Linked DNA regions of Lonchura striata. The protein of the gene in region 1 interacts with the protein of each later gene in a biochemical or structural test. Links are inferred from orthologs where the notes say so. Each region holds a gene or a part of one and is shown in the gene's direction. Other genes may lie near its edges.

Region 1 (7,662 bases):
TAGGAGAAACGATACTGGAGAGAAAATAAAAGGCGTTTCTTTTCTCTTTAGATGGGCGTAGGAGAGTTCAATATCTTACCAGAAAAACTGCTTTGAACAATGGTGATAAAGAAGAGGTTTAATGAGGCTGGGGCTGTTTGTGGAAAATTAGTCCGTATTAGGGTATAATTCCTTCAGGGAGCGTTTATAATGCCGGCAGGAATGCGGGGAGAGGGGGCAGATCAAATTCCGGCACAATCTTGCAAGCTTTCAGCTGCCGATGCATGGTGCACCTGTGTGTTCCCCTGTCTGACCTCAGAGCTGGCTTGAAAATCTCTGGCATCTGGAAGTGCAGGGAAAGATCAGGTTTTTAATTTTTTTTTTTTTTTTTTTTTTTTTTTTTTTTGGGAGGGGAAAAATAATCTTTTTTTTTTTTTTTTTTTTTTTAAAGCTTAGAATACCGTGTATGTTACATCTTTTTAAAGGATACTACAAACTATTTAGTGGGTATGCTTTTTAGTGGTTTGAGATTGGTTTTTTTTATTTTAATTTTTTTTTTTAACCTACTATCTTAAAGATCTCATACTGATATGTTCAAAAAGGTGAAAAGATGAATAATACTCGGTTAAAAAATCTGGTTGGTTGGCAAGATTTGAGAAATTAATTTCATACTCTTTTGCTTATCTCAGGAAGAATGTTCTCCTTAGCAAGTACAGATTCGAACATGACAGTTTAGGCATTTATCTCGCTTGTGGAGTCTGGAATAGTATCTCATTTTCAAACTCTAGCAATGTGGAGATAAAATGTAAATACTGCTGTATTAAAATTGCCACTTTACCTTGTACACCGTCACTGGTGGCTGCGGTAGGAACTTGCAGATTTTAAGTGCATGTAATTTACATTGCTTGAATTTAACTGTTTTGTAATTACACTTTGATTTGTATTTTTTTAATCAGACATGGTGGGGTGGTTAAGCTGTGCTGCTTATGAACTTCCATGTGAGTAATTTCTTGGTATAAAGTTGTGCTTATTAATGCAAGGATTTTCTCTTTTGGAGTTTAAAAGTTGTTCGATTTGGCATCTGTAGCTTATTTTTTGCAGTCTACTTAATTGAATAGCTTCTCTGTTTATCTTAAAATGCAGATAAATGGCTTTCAGCGCAGTGTTTATAGCTTAATAGTTCCTGAAATGAGAGTCAACATTATCTCCTAGACTCTACTAGTCATAACTAATGATCCCTCTGCTTACACTGTAGAGCAAGCCAGGAGACACTGAACTCTGTAGAGAGCAAGGGCCCTGTGCAGTGGGAGGATAGTTTGTATGTGATGGCGCCTGCTAGACAAGGCTTTCATGGCTCTGTAGTGTTAATTGGGAACCAAAATTTGTCCTTGGCCACCTCTAACCTCTCCTGTTACTTAACTCTTCTAGGAATATTCATACAAACCTGAGGGGGAGTTGACAGCACACAGTATTCTCCCCTCCCTCATCATTTAAGGTGAATAATATCAGATTGCTCTTATATTTGCTTCAGTTTTGCCCATCAGAGCACATTTTGGAACACAAAGTCTTTGCAGAAATTTGGTGCATTTTAATGTCCCAAATATCACTGGCAGGCAGCCTAACAAAGGCATTGTGTTGAAGCCTGGAAGAGGATGAGAAAATAATTAGGCAGCTGGCAATTACTGTATTTTGTTCTAGGCCTTTTTATATGACATTTAAATTTCTTGATGAAAGAAAGATTTTATTTTATTTTATTTTATTTTATTTTATTTTATTTTATTTTATTTTATTTTATTTTATTTTATTTTTACATTTTCCTGACCTTTGGCTTAGTTGTGAATGGAGAGTGGTAAGCTTTCCTTTTTAATAGAGTTAAATGCATGCTCTGGGAAGAGAGAAGGGAAAGGAAGGAAGGTCAGTCAAGTGGATTTACCATCCACCAGTAGTGCTCTATTATTATTACCTTGGGAACAAAAGATCCTTGCTTATGCATCAAATGAAAATAATATGAGGAGCAACAATGCCTCATGGTGTGAGGGGTTAATATTCTTCTACATTCTGTCAGCTCATCAATATGACCTTTTCCTGAGTTTTTTAACTTGCAAGAGTATTTATTGGAAATTGCAGATGCAGGTGTTGTGAGGTGGTTATCACTGTTGAAGTATTTCAGCCAGCACAGTGTTCTGGTTTCAAAGAGGAAGTTTGTTTTCAGCAGGAAGCTTTTGCTGGCTTTAGGTGAAGTTCAGTTAGTGATATACAAAACAGCCTATGTCCCTAAATCCTGTGTCTCCATCTAGTCCACTGTGTTGAGAACTAATTAAATGTAAACAACTAGGTGTGTGACTGGTTGTATATGAAAGCTATTCCTACTTAAAGACACTTATGTCAGTCTTGTTTATGCTCCAGCTTCCATGCTTCTCACTGTTTGTATGAGTTTTCAGGTTATCTTAAAAGTAGGTTTGAGCTTTGTGTTGGCAGAACAGCAGGCTGGTACAAGACACATTCTGGGTAACACCACATGCACTGCAAAAGCCACAAGAAAGCAAACTCAAAAGTTTTGAAGTTTCAAATTCAAAAGTTGTAAGTAGTTATGACTACTTGCAATTACTTAGAGCTTACTACTTAAAACTCTGAAGATGATTTTTTTGGACACGGCCATGAATGATCTCCAGGAGCTACAAGGCAGAAGGAGCAGGATGCTGTTGGAAAGTTAAAGAGAGGAACATGATTGCTGCCAGGAGCACCAAGCAGTTTCTAGCAGGACCATGATTCCACATTGTTTTGGCAGAAATTTAGACATTATCTATTTTTTTTCACTTGGTAGATGTGGTCTTGATAGAGTTACAGGTAGTTCTATAAATGAGGGATGAATCAGGAACGAACCAGAGTATGGAGGAAGAAAAATTTAGCTATTGCCTCTGCTAGTATCAGATAGCTTTAAAACAGCATGTGTAAGGCTCCAAAAAAGGAACTAAGTATTTGGAAAAAAAAACCACATGCAAATTTTTTGAAAGAGGAAATTTGAGGCAGCTTTCTTATTTTGATTTTATGTTGTATAAAGTCTTGTTTCTTAATTTTACTTTGTTATCTAATCAGATATTTACATATCCTACTTGTTTCAGTCAGAATCTTGAAGAGTTAGCTCTTCTGTAAGAAACCAGTTGAAAGTTCATATAGGTCTAGATTACTTATGAGCATTTTCTCATAGGAATAAAGCTCCTGTTTCTTTGGAAATAATCCCATTGGTAAACAGCAGCTGCAATAAACCTTCCACCAAGAAATTTGATACATAGTTCTGAGTATGCAGATATCTCTTTTTTCATCACCAGTTTCCAAAGGTGGAATTAGATTAGGGAATGATGGGACAGAAACTGAAGTATCATTTTGTAGAGAAGAACATTTCAGTACAAATGCTGGGAGTGTGTTGTGACTGCAGTGTCTGATGTTTACAGCTCAATATCAGAAAGAAACATTAGTAACAGCATCTGTTGGTAATTTCTGACATTTACATGCTACCATGGAAATTATAGATGTTATGTAGGGGAGGTGTGGCATTTTATGACCATATTATCTGGAATAAATCCGGATTACCAGATTAAGTTAACTAAATTATTTCAAATATCTGAAATAATAATATATGTGGTTTTGTTTTTAAATAATACTGGTTTGTTTTATATAAATATGTGTGGATCACAATAATGGAATTTTAATAATGGTTAGTCAGCTTGCTCAGCAAATATCAGGATCATAAAATGCTCTCAATGGCTGTGTACTCTACCTTGAAATGAAATTCTTGCTATTGTTCCATGATGGGACCAAATTTTTATGTGTTTGATGCAGATTATCAAGTTTCCTGGGTTTTTTTGTTTTGTTGGTTTTAGTTTTGGGTTTATTTTTTTCTGAATTTTTTTTGTTGTTGTTGTTTGTTTGGGTGTGGTTTTTTTTTTTTTTTGGCTGTTGTTTCTTGGTGATTTGGTTTGGTTTTGTGGGGGTTTGTTTTTTTTTTTTTGTGATGTGCTATGATAAAACCTATGTATCCTAGTAGCAACTTCATGACCTCTTTGCTTCCTCTTCCTCTGAAAAAAAATCCCAAATTGCTGGTTGCATGCCATTTCTTCTCATAGTCTGTTCTCAATTGGCATTTTTTGTACCATAAGAAGCCTAAAAGCCCCATCAAAACCTTCTTGTGATTGCTCTCATCAGCAAAGATGTATGGGATTGGGTAAATGAGGGCCAGGCCACTGTGGTGTATCCTGTATCACAAGTAGTCCCACTTTAAAGGGAGGTGAGGAGCAGAATGCTCCAACTTCAGCGTGCATTTTATATACTGACCTTGGAAGGTGTTGCCAACCATCTGGAAAGAGTTAGAAATTCTGTATTGCTCGGGATCTTTGTTTGATTTGTAACTCCAGGATTTTCTTTTCCTTTTGCCTTTTTACTGTCACATCCTATGCAGCCTGAATACCCCTTTGCGCCTGGCTGGAATAATATTGTTTGCCAGCTTACAATCAAAGCGAGCTCAGAGGGAAACAGCTGAGCCGTATTAAGCAGAGGCAGTCTGGACTGCATTTCTTTGCTGCTGAATAACCCGCCACAGGTGCAGGATTAGCCCAGCCTACGGTGCTGTGTTTGCTTAGCAGAGCCACCCTCTGCCTCCTCGCATGACTCTCATCCTCGGGGAATCTGGCAGCGATGTAGCGAGCGCGCCGAAACTCCCTGTAAGTAGAAGGCTTTAGCTTTTCAGCTCACAAAGCACTTGTGCTTCCCCTACCCTTACCTTTCCCTTTTTCTTCTTCTTTTTTTTCTTTCTTTTATTTTTGTTTTAGTTTTTTTTTAAAGCCTGGTTTGAGCGGAACACTTAAGAGTCTTGGGGGGGGAAAAAAAAAAAGTAAAACAGAAGTTCTGTGGGTTCTTCAGGAAGGTCAGAGAGGGACTGAATAAAGTGTTGCTGGTGTGCTGGCAAGATGTGGGGCAGCAGGTCTTGTGTTTGCAGCTTTGACTCCTGCAGGGACACACACTGGAGATCTCCTATCCATTCACTTGGACTGGGGGTCAGGGTTTGTACAACGTCAGGAGCCTGATGCAAGCCTTTAGGTGCACTTTGGTTGGTTTAGATTTCATGAGAAAGGTGATAGATTTACAGAGAAAATACTGCAGATAAAACAAAAGTTTCCTGTTACCCTTTTTGGTGAGGATTGAGGAAAAAGAGATTTTTAGAACTAGTACTTGGAAATCAGCCTGATCTTGAACTTAAAAGGATGAAAAATCACTTTTTCTTCTTTATATTAACCTTTGGATTTGAAGTTAATTTAAAAATAAATGTTTGGGTAGTAATAGGCTAATTCTGGTGCCAGATTTGCATTGTGGGCCTGAGGTGTTATGGGTTTTAGCCTTAGTGATGGTCACCTTCTGTCTAACTTTGTAGATATATAGTGCTTGTGTATGTCAGTAATGCTTTTTAAAATGCTGCATCTGTTCTATACATTTCAAATGCTAGTTAGCCGGAAAATAACCAAATAATAAAAACACATGTACTTTTTCTCCTACTCATTGCTTTTCTTATCTGGCTGGACACAGAGAAAAAAAAGTTCTACATTTGAATAGAATTGTGGAGAAATCTGTAGAGAATGAAAGAAAGGTGGTCATGCATCTCTTGAAAACTTCTGGTCGAGGAGAAGAGCACCTGGGATGTGATCTTGCCAAGGGTGTTTGCAGTGCACATTTCTTGGGTTTTGAGGTTGTGTATGAAGTGTAGGTGTGAAGATATATGTGTATGGCATTGGGAAAAAAAGCAATGCAAGCAGACTCAGTGGGGCTGAGGGCTGGTTCTTCCACTCACAGAGGCCCGAGTGTGTGACTGAGCATGGAAGCCTGTTGGTGGGCACTGCTTGATGGGTTGGTGGCAATGTCATTGGCATGGGTAGCATACACCCCCTTCCTGCCCAGACATGAGCTCTGGAGCATTCAGAGAGGGAAATGCTTTTAGGCTGCTCAAACACTTCTGGAAAACTGTAGTGCTTATGTCTGTGGTCAAAATTCATTATTGTTGTTGCATACGTGCAATTAATTTTGGTTTGCAGTAGATATGCTTTCCTCCCCCTCTAAATGGATTTGTTTGTTTTCTATCAAAGTGAGTAAGTCAATGACACTTTCTGTGGCATTCAGCCGTGTTTGCAGATGATAAGGTTTGTGCCTCAGCCCTCATTCATGAACACAAAGATCTTCTTCATGGTTATGGTTTCCACACATGCAGTTCAAATGCCTGCACAGCGTGTGTGGTGAAGCCAACAGTAGCAGCAGTCAGTTCAATGCAGTCCCTGCCTTGGCAGCGTAACAGGGCAGCAATTTATACAGTCACTTGCTCAGTTGCTTAAAACTCTGCTTGGCCTGGTGACCTGTCAGGGTGGCATTTGCCTCCAGGCAGAAAAATTCCTGGAGATCCTTGAGCACTTCATTCAACAACAGTTAGTTACTGAGAGTGTCCTAAACACGTGGGATTTTGGGATGCGGATAGCATTAATCCATGAAAAATTATAAAAATACTAGTTTTTTTTTTTTTTTTCTGACACCAAATAATCTGTCCTTCTGGAAGATGGACAGGCACTTGAGGAAAAGTTGGAAGGGGAATTGGCAGGAAGCATCATCATCCCCATGTTTTGGGAAGAATGAATTTAAAAGAAGTTATATGACCAGAATTTGGGAAAAAAAAAGCAACGAAGAAACCCCAGAATTTGGGAAAAAAAAAAAAAAACCCAAACACAAACATTAAAAATATAGTATGCTTATAAGCATAGCAGCTATATGACAGTTCTGGTTTTGTGACTGTCAACATTATTTGATTTGTTCTTACAAGAAGAGTAAAAGGGAATGACAGCAATGTAGCAGAAATTAGAAAGGAGTTGGTAATTCATGAAGTAAATTTATGAAGTAAATGCTCTTTAGGCTGAGTTTGGGTTATGTCACATTTACTCCTGAACAGACAAACCCAGTCAGTCAGAAGGGCACCAGCACCTCTGAATAGTTTTGGCACTGATTTCTGCAAGCATAGCATGTGCACATGCTAATTATATTTTAATATCCAGGTGCAGTCTTTGATCTTGAGGTGAGAATGGCTAGCTGGTATTTTTATCTTCCAGGCACTATTTTTGTCTCAACTGCATGGTGCACTTGTGTTTCTTCTCTTTTGGAAAGGCAACAGGAGTGACAGTGATTTATTAAACATATCTAAGAGATCCATGAGGTCAGAGCTGTCTCTTGCTGTTTCATTTAAATTCCATTTTCTGAATCCCCTCAATCTCAATATCATCTTAAATGATAATAAGTAAAAATCTGCAGCTTGCACAGTGCAATCTTTGCTGCTTTCCTAAAGATCAGATAGCAAACATGGATTAGTAGCATTGCTTCCCATCTGTGTATTCTTTCCCCTGTTGCTGCTGTTCAGGAGAGTTTTCAAGATCACTTGTAGTGACATTTGCATAATCTCTAGGTGATCATATTTGGTGTTTCCTGCTTGGAACTGCAAGTATATGTGGTGATTTGTGGCTTAGAAACAGAAGTAACTACCTTAGGATGTTAGCAACAATCTTCCTATATTTTTTAAATAACTTTTTCTAAAATATAGAGTGTGGCACAGGCTGTGCTGTTTGTTAATATGCAAATTGCCTTTTTGACATATTTGTGTTG
Region 2 (7,158 bases), on another chromosome or scaffold:
TTTACATTTGCAGTTCTGCCAGCTTTCTCCCACAGGACCATATCCAGAGAGTAGCTTTACCTATTTGAGTACATGCAAGGGGAGACAACTTTAGTGGCTCTCTGCCAGCATTATCCAGACACAGATCTGCAGTTCTTGCTGACTTGCACAGGGATGTAGGCATGTGTCCTTCTCAGCAGGGTGAATCGTCTGAGATCTCACTAGGCTCCTGCCAGGACAGGTGAACAGTAATCATGCCAAGCCAAACTAGAGGAGACGCTCCAAGTAGAAGCTTTGGTTAACATCAGCTGGGTTCTGCTGAAGAAATAGCTTGTAGATATAAGGTAACTGATGGTGCAGGCAGGATTTGTGATATATAAACAGTGAGACAGCTCTCTGTCCTGAAAAAGGCCTTTCCAGTTGAGGTGTAGGCACTAAAATGGATGAATTCCTTTTATTGTTAACTTTCAACAACACACGAGAACCCAGCTCACAGCCTCTTGTTGAAGGGGCCCTACTCAGACTGCTTTTAACATAGCAAATAACTATGCCAGAAGGGATGAAGCAATGTTACAGGCTGTTGTAGATCTTCTTAAAAATAAGTATTTAGTAATGTAATACCTGATGTCAATGCCGCTGATATAAAATTTGTCATTAAAGGGATAATAGAGATGAGGTGGTAACGACAAACATAAAGGCAATGAAAATGTATACATTAAAGATTAAATGGATTTCCCCTTAAACAAATGACATTATAAATGAATAATCTGACCAGCTCAAAGCCATCATTTTAGTGGGAAATCACCTTACCAGTGAGTTTCACTGGGAAGGAGCTGGGAGTCTGCCCTGAAGTTCCAAAATTACACACACACACACACACACACACAGAGCCCTAAGTCGCAAAACTACAGCTTCATAACTGTGTGACTTGAAGAGGCCAACTCACCCTATGGAGCAAGCCCTGTTGTTAACTGGGTTCTTACATGTGCCAGCCTACACCTTTACACTAAACAGTTACTAAACCAACAAGGGCTGGTACTTATCCAAGAAATTTGCTTGCTTGCCTTGGTAAATAAAGGCATTATATTGGACACTGGGAACACTGCCTTTCCTGCCTCTGGGATAAAGGATTTTGAATTTGTGCTGCTGTGTGCCACATGATTTACGAGCTTAGGTATGCACTAGACCAGGGGGTACCCGTGGAGGGGAAGAGCTGTGGCTTTCCTAAAAATTCCAAGACCCAGCTCCCGAGACGGTCTCTGGGCAGGTGAGGCTTTTAGCACAAGTGCAGTACAAGGTGCACAGGACAGCTGTCGTTGTGCACCTCATAACAAAACAAAAGCCCTGACTTTAGGAAAGTCAAAATGCCCCTAGTTATGCTCCTAAGAATAAATAAACAACTTCAAAAGTAATCCATGGCCAAAGGATGACAACTTTGGGATTTTATTTCAGGAGCACAGGTGTGCAGTCCAGCAGATGAATTCTACTTCTGCCCACCCTTGTTCCACTATAAACTTTGTTCCACTATAAACCATTATTGTTGCAGAAAAGCAGCTGTCTCATCTGCCCTCCTGGGCCAGCGAAAACATTTAGGAATTGATCTGGATTTTTTTGGGGCGTCTTTAGATTAGGTTTCACTTCCCAATCTAATTCTGCACACAAAGCCTGTGCTGATGCGGGTGAAAATGAGCAGCAGCCTAAGGGGTGGGTGAAACCCTTTCTTTCACCAGCATGGAAAACCATGGCCCCAGTGCACTACTCCTGGCACTCCATCATTCCCTGAAGCCGCGCACCTCCCCACTTCCTCTTCTAACCAGGAGGTTTCAGTTTGAAGATAAGGCAACACAAACACTTGCAAATCTACCGGAGTACGCAGCACAAACAAAGCCTGGTCTCGAAAACGGGGCAAGGAAAGCAACGAGGACGACGAACCCCTCATTATTATACCCCAACCAAACCCAAACCGACAGGGTTTACATCTTACAGCCTTCAGGTCAAGCCTGGATCTGCTCGGGAACGCGCCCCAGCTCCTGGGCTCCACGTGGGAGCTGCAAGGCCTGGCACGGGTAGATCAAACAGGCCAGAAACGTGTCCTCAGGCTACTGCTGTCTCCACTCGGCATTTCTGCAGCGCACTGAAAATCAGCAGTTTCTGCAGATCGAGCTCTCCGCAGATTTTAGCACTCACAGCCCCAAACTTCTAACGCTGAGCGGGAACGGAGAAAGATGTGAATCGTGCTGGAGCAAGGTGCTAATGACGCGGGGTTAAGATCAAGAAGGTCCCGAAATATCTCTCAGGCTGGCGGTGCCCGGCGCAGCTCGGAGGGTGCCGGGGGCCCGGCCTGCGGCGCCCACGGTAGCGCCACTTCTACTTTAAGGAAGTACCGGCAGCCGCGGCCCCGCGGAAAGGGCTGTAAAAGCAACAAGCCCGGGCAGTCGGGCACTCCCGCCCCGCCGCAGGTGCCGCGGGGCAGCGCAGAGCCGCCCGCGGGTGCCCCGTGCTGGGGTCGCTCCGGCATCGCCCCGCGCTCCCCGCGGGCGCCCCGCGCTCCTCACCTGCCGTCCCCGCCGGCAGCGCTTCCCTCTCCTCCGCGCCCTACGCCGCTACCTTGCCTCGGAGAAACAGCGGGGGGAGGAGTGGAGCCCGGGAGGGCGGCCCTTCCTTCCCCTTCCCTCCAACAGCGCGCGGTGGGAGTAAGGCGGCGAGGAGCGCTGTCCGCCCGGCGGTGCTCAGGGTCACCCGCTCGCATACCCCCCAGAGTCACCACCTCATCGATGACCCCAGGCTGCCGGGCAGCTTCAGCTGCTGCTTTTAGAGGTTTGAGGCTACCCGGAGAAAATCGGTTCCGAGGGTGCAATGGCAAAGAACAGAAAGTTTGTGAGGTGGAGATGTGTTAGAAGAGGCGTGGATTGAACTGAGAGGAAAGGGGCAAAAGCTTTTCCATGAGCCAGATTTCCACAGAAAGTCTTTCTTGCCTTAAACTTTTGACTTACACGGTGGTACAGTGATGAGGTGAAGCACAGTGGAAAAACCATATCTATGAAAAAGAGAAACAGAGAGAATAAAGGACAAAATTATTTCAGATAAAACTCATATCCTGGAAAAAGACTGCAGAGATACAAAGTATGAATATTTGACACACTATGGGCAGCAAATAGTTACTCTCATGAGAACTATGCAGCTGTGAAGTTGTCAAACCACAGATAGTATCACAGGATATTTGCTCCCCTAGGCTTGCTCCCTGAGCTACTCTGATGATGCTTATCTCTTTAGATTGTCTATGCATGCACTTGTCGTATCAGACATCCTTGGAGACAGGAACTCCAAAGCTCATGAAGACTTTCAGAGCCTTCTATCACCTGAGGGCACACTGAGGCCTTTAATAACCTCAGCCAGACCCAGCCGGGACCAATTTCAGGCATTCTACTTAAGCTCAGGCTGAGGGGCATTTTGTTCTTGGGGTCATGTGGAGTAACTCTACTTTTGCTGCTCCTTGGCACTGGCTTGACACTGTCTTTTTAGCTCTTTGTAGGACAGTTGGGTAAGCTACCTGCTTATTATTATTTAAATAAACATACCTCTGTAGATGAGCAAATAAATATTTATGGACCATGGGGTAATGTAACATTCAGGTGTGAATTGGTTAGTGAACAACCAAGCCTGCTGTTGCTGTGACCTCAGGAACATATTCTTGGGTGTTTTTTTTTTTTTTGTTCTCTAAACAAATAAAGAAAAATCACAAACTTTTGACCAAATTGGGAAAAATGGCGCTTGGGAGATAATCAATAAAAGCAAAGAAGGTTGCCAGGCCAGTCAATAAACATTGATGTTTATCTCCATGCTGGTCCCAATTCTGACCTCTTTTAAGTGTGAGCGTTATTTCCCTTTCCAGTTGCCTGTGAGCTAACTTGAGAGAAGAGACTGTAGAGTTTGATGTCAGCCTAGTCCTGCTGTGCCAAGAGGGATGGGGCTCATGTTCCATCTGGACTGCTGGAAAAATCTGTCGCCTATCTGCCAGATCCCTTGGAGAGGAAATGCACTTGCTGGATGAAGAAAAAATGATCTGGAAAAAAGACAGAAGACAAAGAGGTGGGGGGTAAGCTCTCTGTGAATCTAACAGAAAGTATTGCAAGAAAATAGGTGGGTTTTCAGTTGACACTGATCAAACCCCCAGCATCTGAGGCAGTGATGGTTTACATCTGAAGAGTTGCAAATTAGGGAATGCTTTGGAGGCGGTGTTTTCATTTTCAGTCATCTCTCAAGGGGCTGAGGAAATCAGATTTGAAGACCTGTAATACCCTCATCCTGTCAGAGGTGAGTGGGGAAAACTGTAATTTAGTAATAAATTTTCTTTTCCAGAGTTCCCATGGAAAAGGACAGGAAATGGAACGTGCATTTGTAGCTTCTTAACAGTTTATATCATAAAAGCCTCCTTTAGTCAGGAATAAAGTTTGCTGGAATATAGGTAGTGTTAATTTATTCTTGGGGTTACTCAGCTAAGGCTGAATGTGATCTGTTTAGAGTTTGATCCCTTTTCCAAAGGGTCTACTAAACACCTCTAGCTGAGAGTGTCTTAGTAGACAAATATATGTTTTTGGGAGCATGAGGAAGTAACATGACAAAGACAGAATAATAAATACTGATTTTTTGGTAAAATGTGTATTTTTTTCTTCCAATATACTTTTAAAAGCTTTTCTTAGGCCAGTGTTATAAATTATCACCAAGTGATGATGTAATCATGTAAGACTGGCCCAATTGTTGTGTTAATGCACCGTCTGGAGGAATGTCTTCTCTTTTTTCATAGGCCTCTTTATTTCTGTTATGATTTTTCCTTAACTATAGGAAGAAAAAATGCTCAGTATTTAATTTTGGGTGAGATCACCCCAGTTTGTGGATGCATGTGTTTTCCGAATTCCCATTCCTCTCAAACTTGCCTTACTTAGATTCTCTGTGTTTCCATGCAATAGCTGTACTGCTTCCTCCTTCTCCCAAAGCAGCATTTCCCACTTGGGGTTTGCCAGGCTGTGGCAAAAGCAGATCTAGAGCAGAACCATGGGGGGATGGGGAACAGCAGCGACTTGTTGCAAGTGCTGCATTTCTCCCAGGTCTCTTTAGACACTCATTAACTTCAGTTTTAACAAGGAATTACTTGTGGGAGTGCCAAGAGTTAGGAGGGCAATTGGTAAGTTCTCAGTGTAGGAGAAGTTATATAAAGAAGTTTGTATAATATTTTAATGTTCCTGTGAGTTCCTGGCACATGTAAGTTTACTAAAGCTTTGAAGAAGCTACTGTTGGTGCTTGAACTGAGGGCTTAGATTGTAGGTGAGGACTAAAGCTGAGCAGAGAATGTCAGTGTTGTGTTCTTATATCCTGTAGCTGGTCAGTGGGCATCTTCATGTACTGACATCAAAACCAAGGAGGGGAGATGTAAAAGAGTGGCGCCCTCTCCCATCATGGAAAACTTGTTATTTTGTGATGTGATTTCTGAAATCTATGCTTGGTAGACAGATGGTTTTTGTTGTGCGAAATATTCCACTTGTAGGCAAAGAAGTAAAGTGTGTCTCTCTGTGTCCCCCCCCTTCACTGACAAAGAAATTAATCAATGCAAACCCTGGCATGAGCACCAGGCACTACTGACAAAGCTCTTGAGAAAAGCTGATCTGTACCACACAGGGTCTTCATGTTGAAAATCTGCACTCTGATAAATGTCCACAAGTGGGAGGTGGCAATACTTTATCCTTTGGTATCCCTTGGCTGTAGTGCTGGTTGGTGACACCAACAGCCATTATCTAAATATCTGAAGCTTTGGAAAAATTCAGTTCGTGTAAGAGAAAAATCTAAATCCTGTAAGTGGAACCTGGATTAAGAGGAACAATAAAAGTCCCTCATTTTCTTGGTTTAGAAGAGTTGAAGCTGCTGTTGCAGATCTGAAATGAGGTCTGAAACTGATGCACTGGGGTGCCCCTGGGCACAGAACAGACAGCACTGACCCATAATGAGTCAGGCTCACTAAGGGTGTCTGTGTTCCCACCCTCTGGGTGTTGGGACTTCTGGGGGTTTTTAAAGTCTGCTTTCTGACTCTGGCTGGCTCATGCTTGAAAAGCACCACATAGTGAAATACTTCCCTGCCTGGTGCAGAGGGTGAGTCATTTAACATTGCTACCAAAACCCCCTCCCTAGGGGGAACTGAGAAGGGTGAGAGGGAGGGATCAGAGCAGACTCAAGAGGAACTGACCAAAAAGGACCATAACAGTGAGCATGTTCACCAGACAGCTGATTGGTGACACAGACCTCTCTCATGATGCTTTCAGCTGAAGCAATGAAGCTTTGAAAAGCTAGAGTTGCAAACAGAACTATTTTTCATGACCAAGGATGAATTCATCCTACTATTCAGCCTTTTTACCTTCCCTCAGTCTGGTGGTTGCAAAACAGAGTAAAAAACATATGATGATTTAGACTGTCTTTTAGGCTTTTTCAAAAATGGTGGCTTGGTCATCATATCTATTACATGGTGTAAGACTTTCAGGAATCCTTACCTTTTCTGTGCGCTTGTAAGTCAGGGCTACAGGGAGATGGTACCAAGCTAATCTTGAAAACTTTCCTCCTAAATATGTATCTGCATGGTTAATTAAAGGAAATACATTTTCCTTTTTTACCCTTGGAGCCCAAGCACCTCCTGTGAGGTTGTAAAATTTGAGTTAAAAGTTGTTAATGCCTGACTGAGTACATAAAAGTTAAAGACTACAAGAGACAGCATTACATCAAATGGTGGCCAGTGAGTTGAGTCTGCATTCTTTGGGGGGTGTTTCTTGTGGATTCTGTCATGTCTGATGGGAATGTCTTGCAATTGTAATCTCAGCTGTAGGACCAAGTGAAGGAAGAATCCCAAAGTCTAACATAGGATTTGGTACTATCCTTTCCAAAACAGGAGTGAGAAAAGCTGGGTTCAAAATTATTGTCTGATTACATGCTGTTATTTTCTTTAGGATACTGGTTCTCAGCTGGAGTGACACTCTGAGATATTATCTGATGCTGGATTGAGGCTGTTTGAATGGAAGCTTTTAAGATAAATAGACTCACCTTTGTCTGACCTCTTCAGTTTAAAATTGCTCATATTAATAGTACCCTAAATCATTCTTCATCCTTTTTAGATGCTTTAAATATAACAGTTGTACTTAC

The links. The genes of interacting proteins can lie anywhere in the genome.
Region 2: the proteins of BMPR1B (region 1) and BMP2 form a complex in vitro, tested with the Homo sapiens proteins (3 studies listed by BioGRID and IntAct, with this or other methods). The link is inferred for Lonchura striata from reciprocal best matches to the Homo sapiens genes BMPR1B and BMP2.

Annotation. Positions count from the first base shown.
Region 1 is NC_134606.1:51,235,468-51,243,129, reverse strand, and holds the start of BMPR1B (bone morphogenetic protein receptor type-1B), read left to right. Parts: upstream 1-4,640; 5' UTR 4,641-4,697; intron 4,698-7,662. UniProt on the Homo sapiens protein: On ligand binding, forms a receptor complex consisting of two type II and two type I transmembrane serine/threonine kinases.
Region 2 is NC_134605.1:24,945,064-24,952,221, reverse strand, and holds the start of BMP2 (bone morphogenetic protein 2), read left to right. Parts: upstream 1-4,158; 5' UTR 4,159-4,293; intron 4,294-7,158. UniProt on the Homo sapiens protein: Growth factor of the TGF-beta superfamily that plays essential roles in many developmental processes, including cardiogenesis, neurogenesis, and osteogenesis. Induces cartilage and bone formation.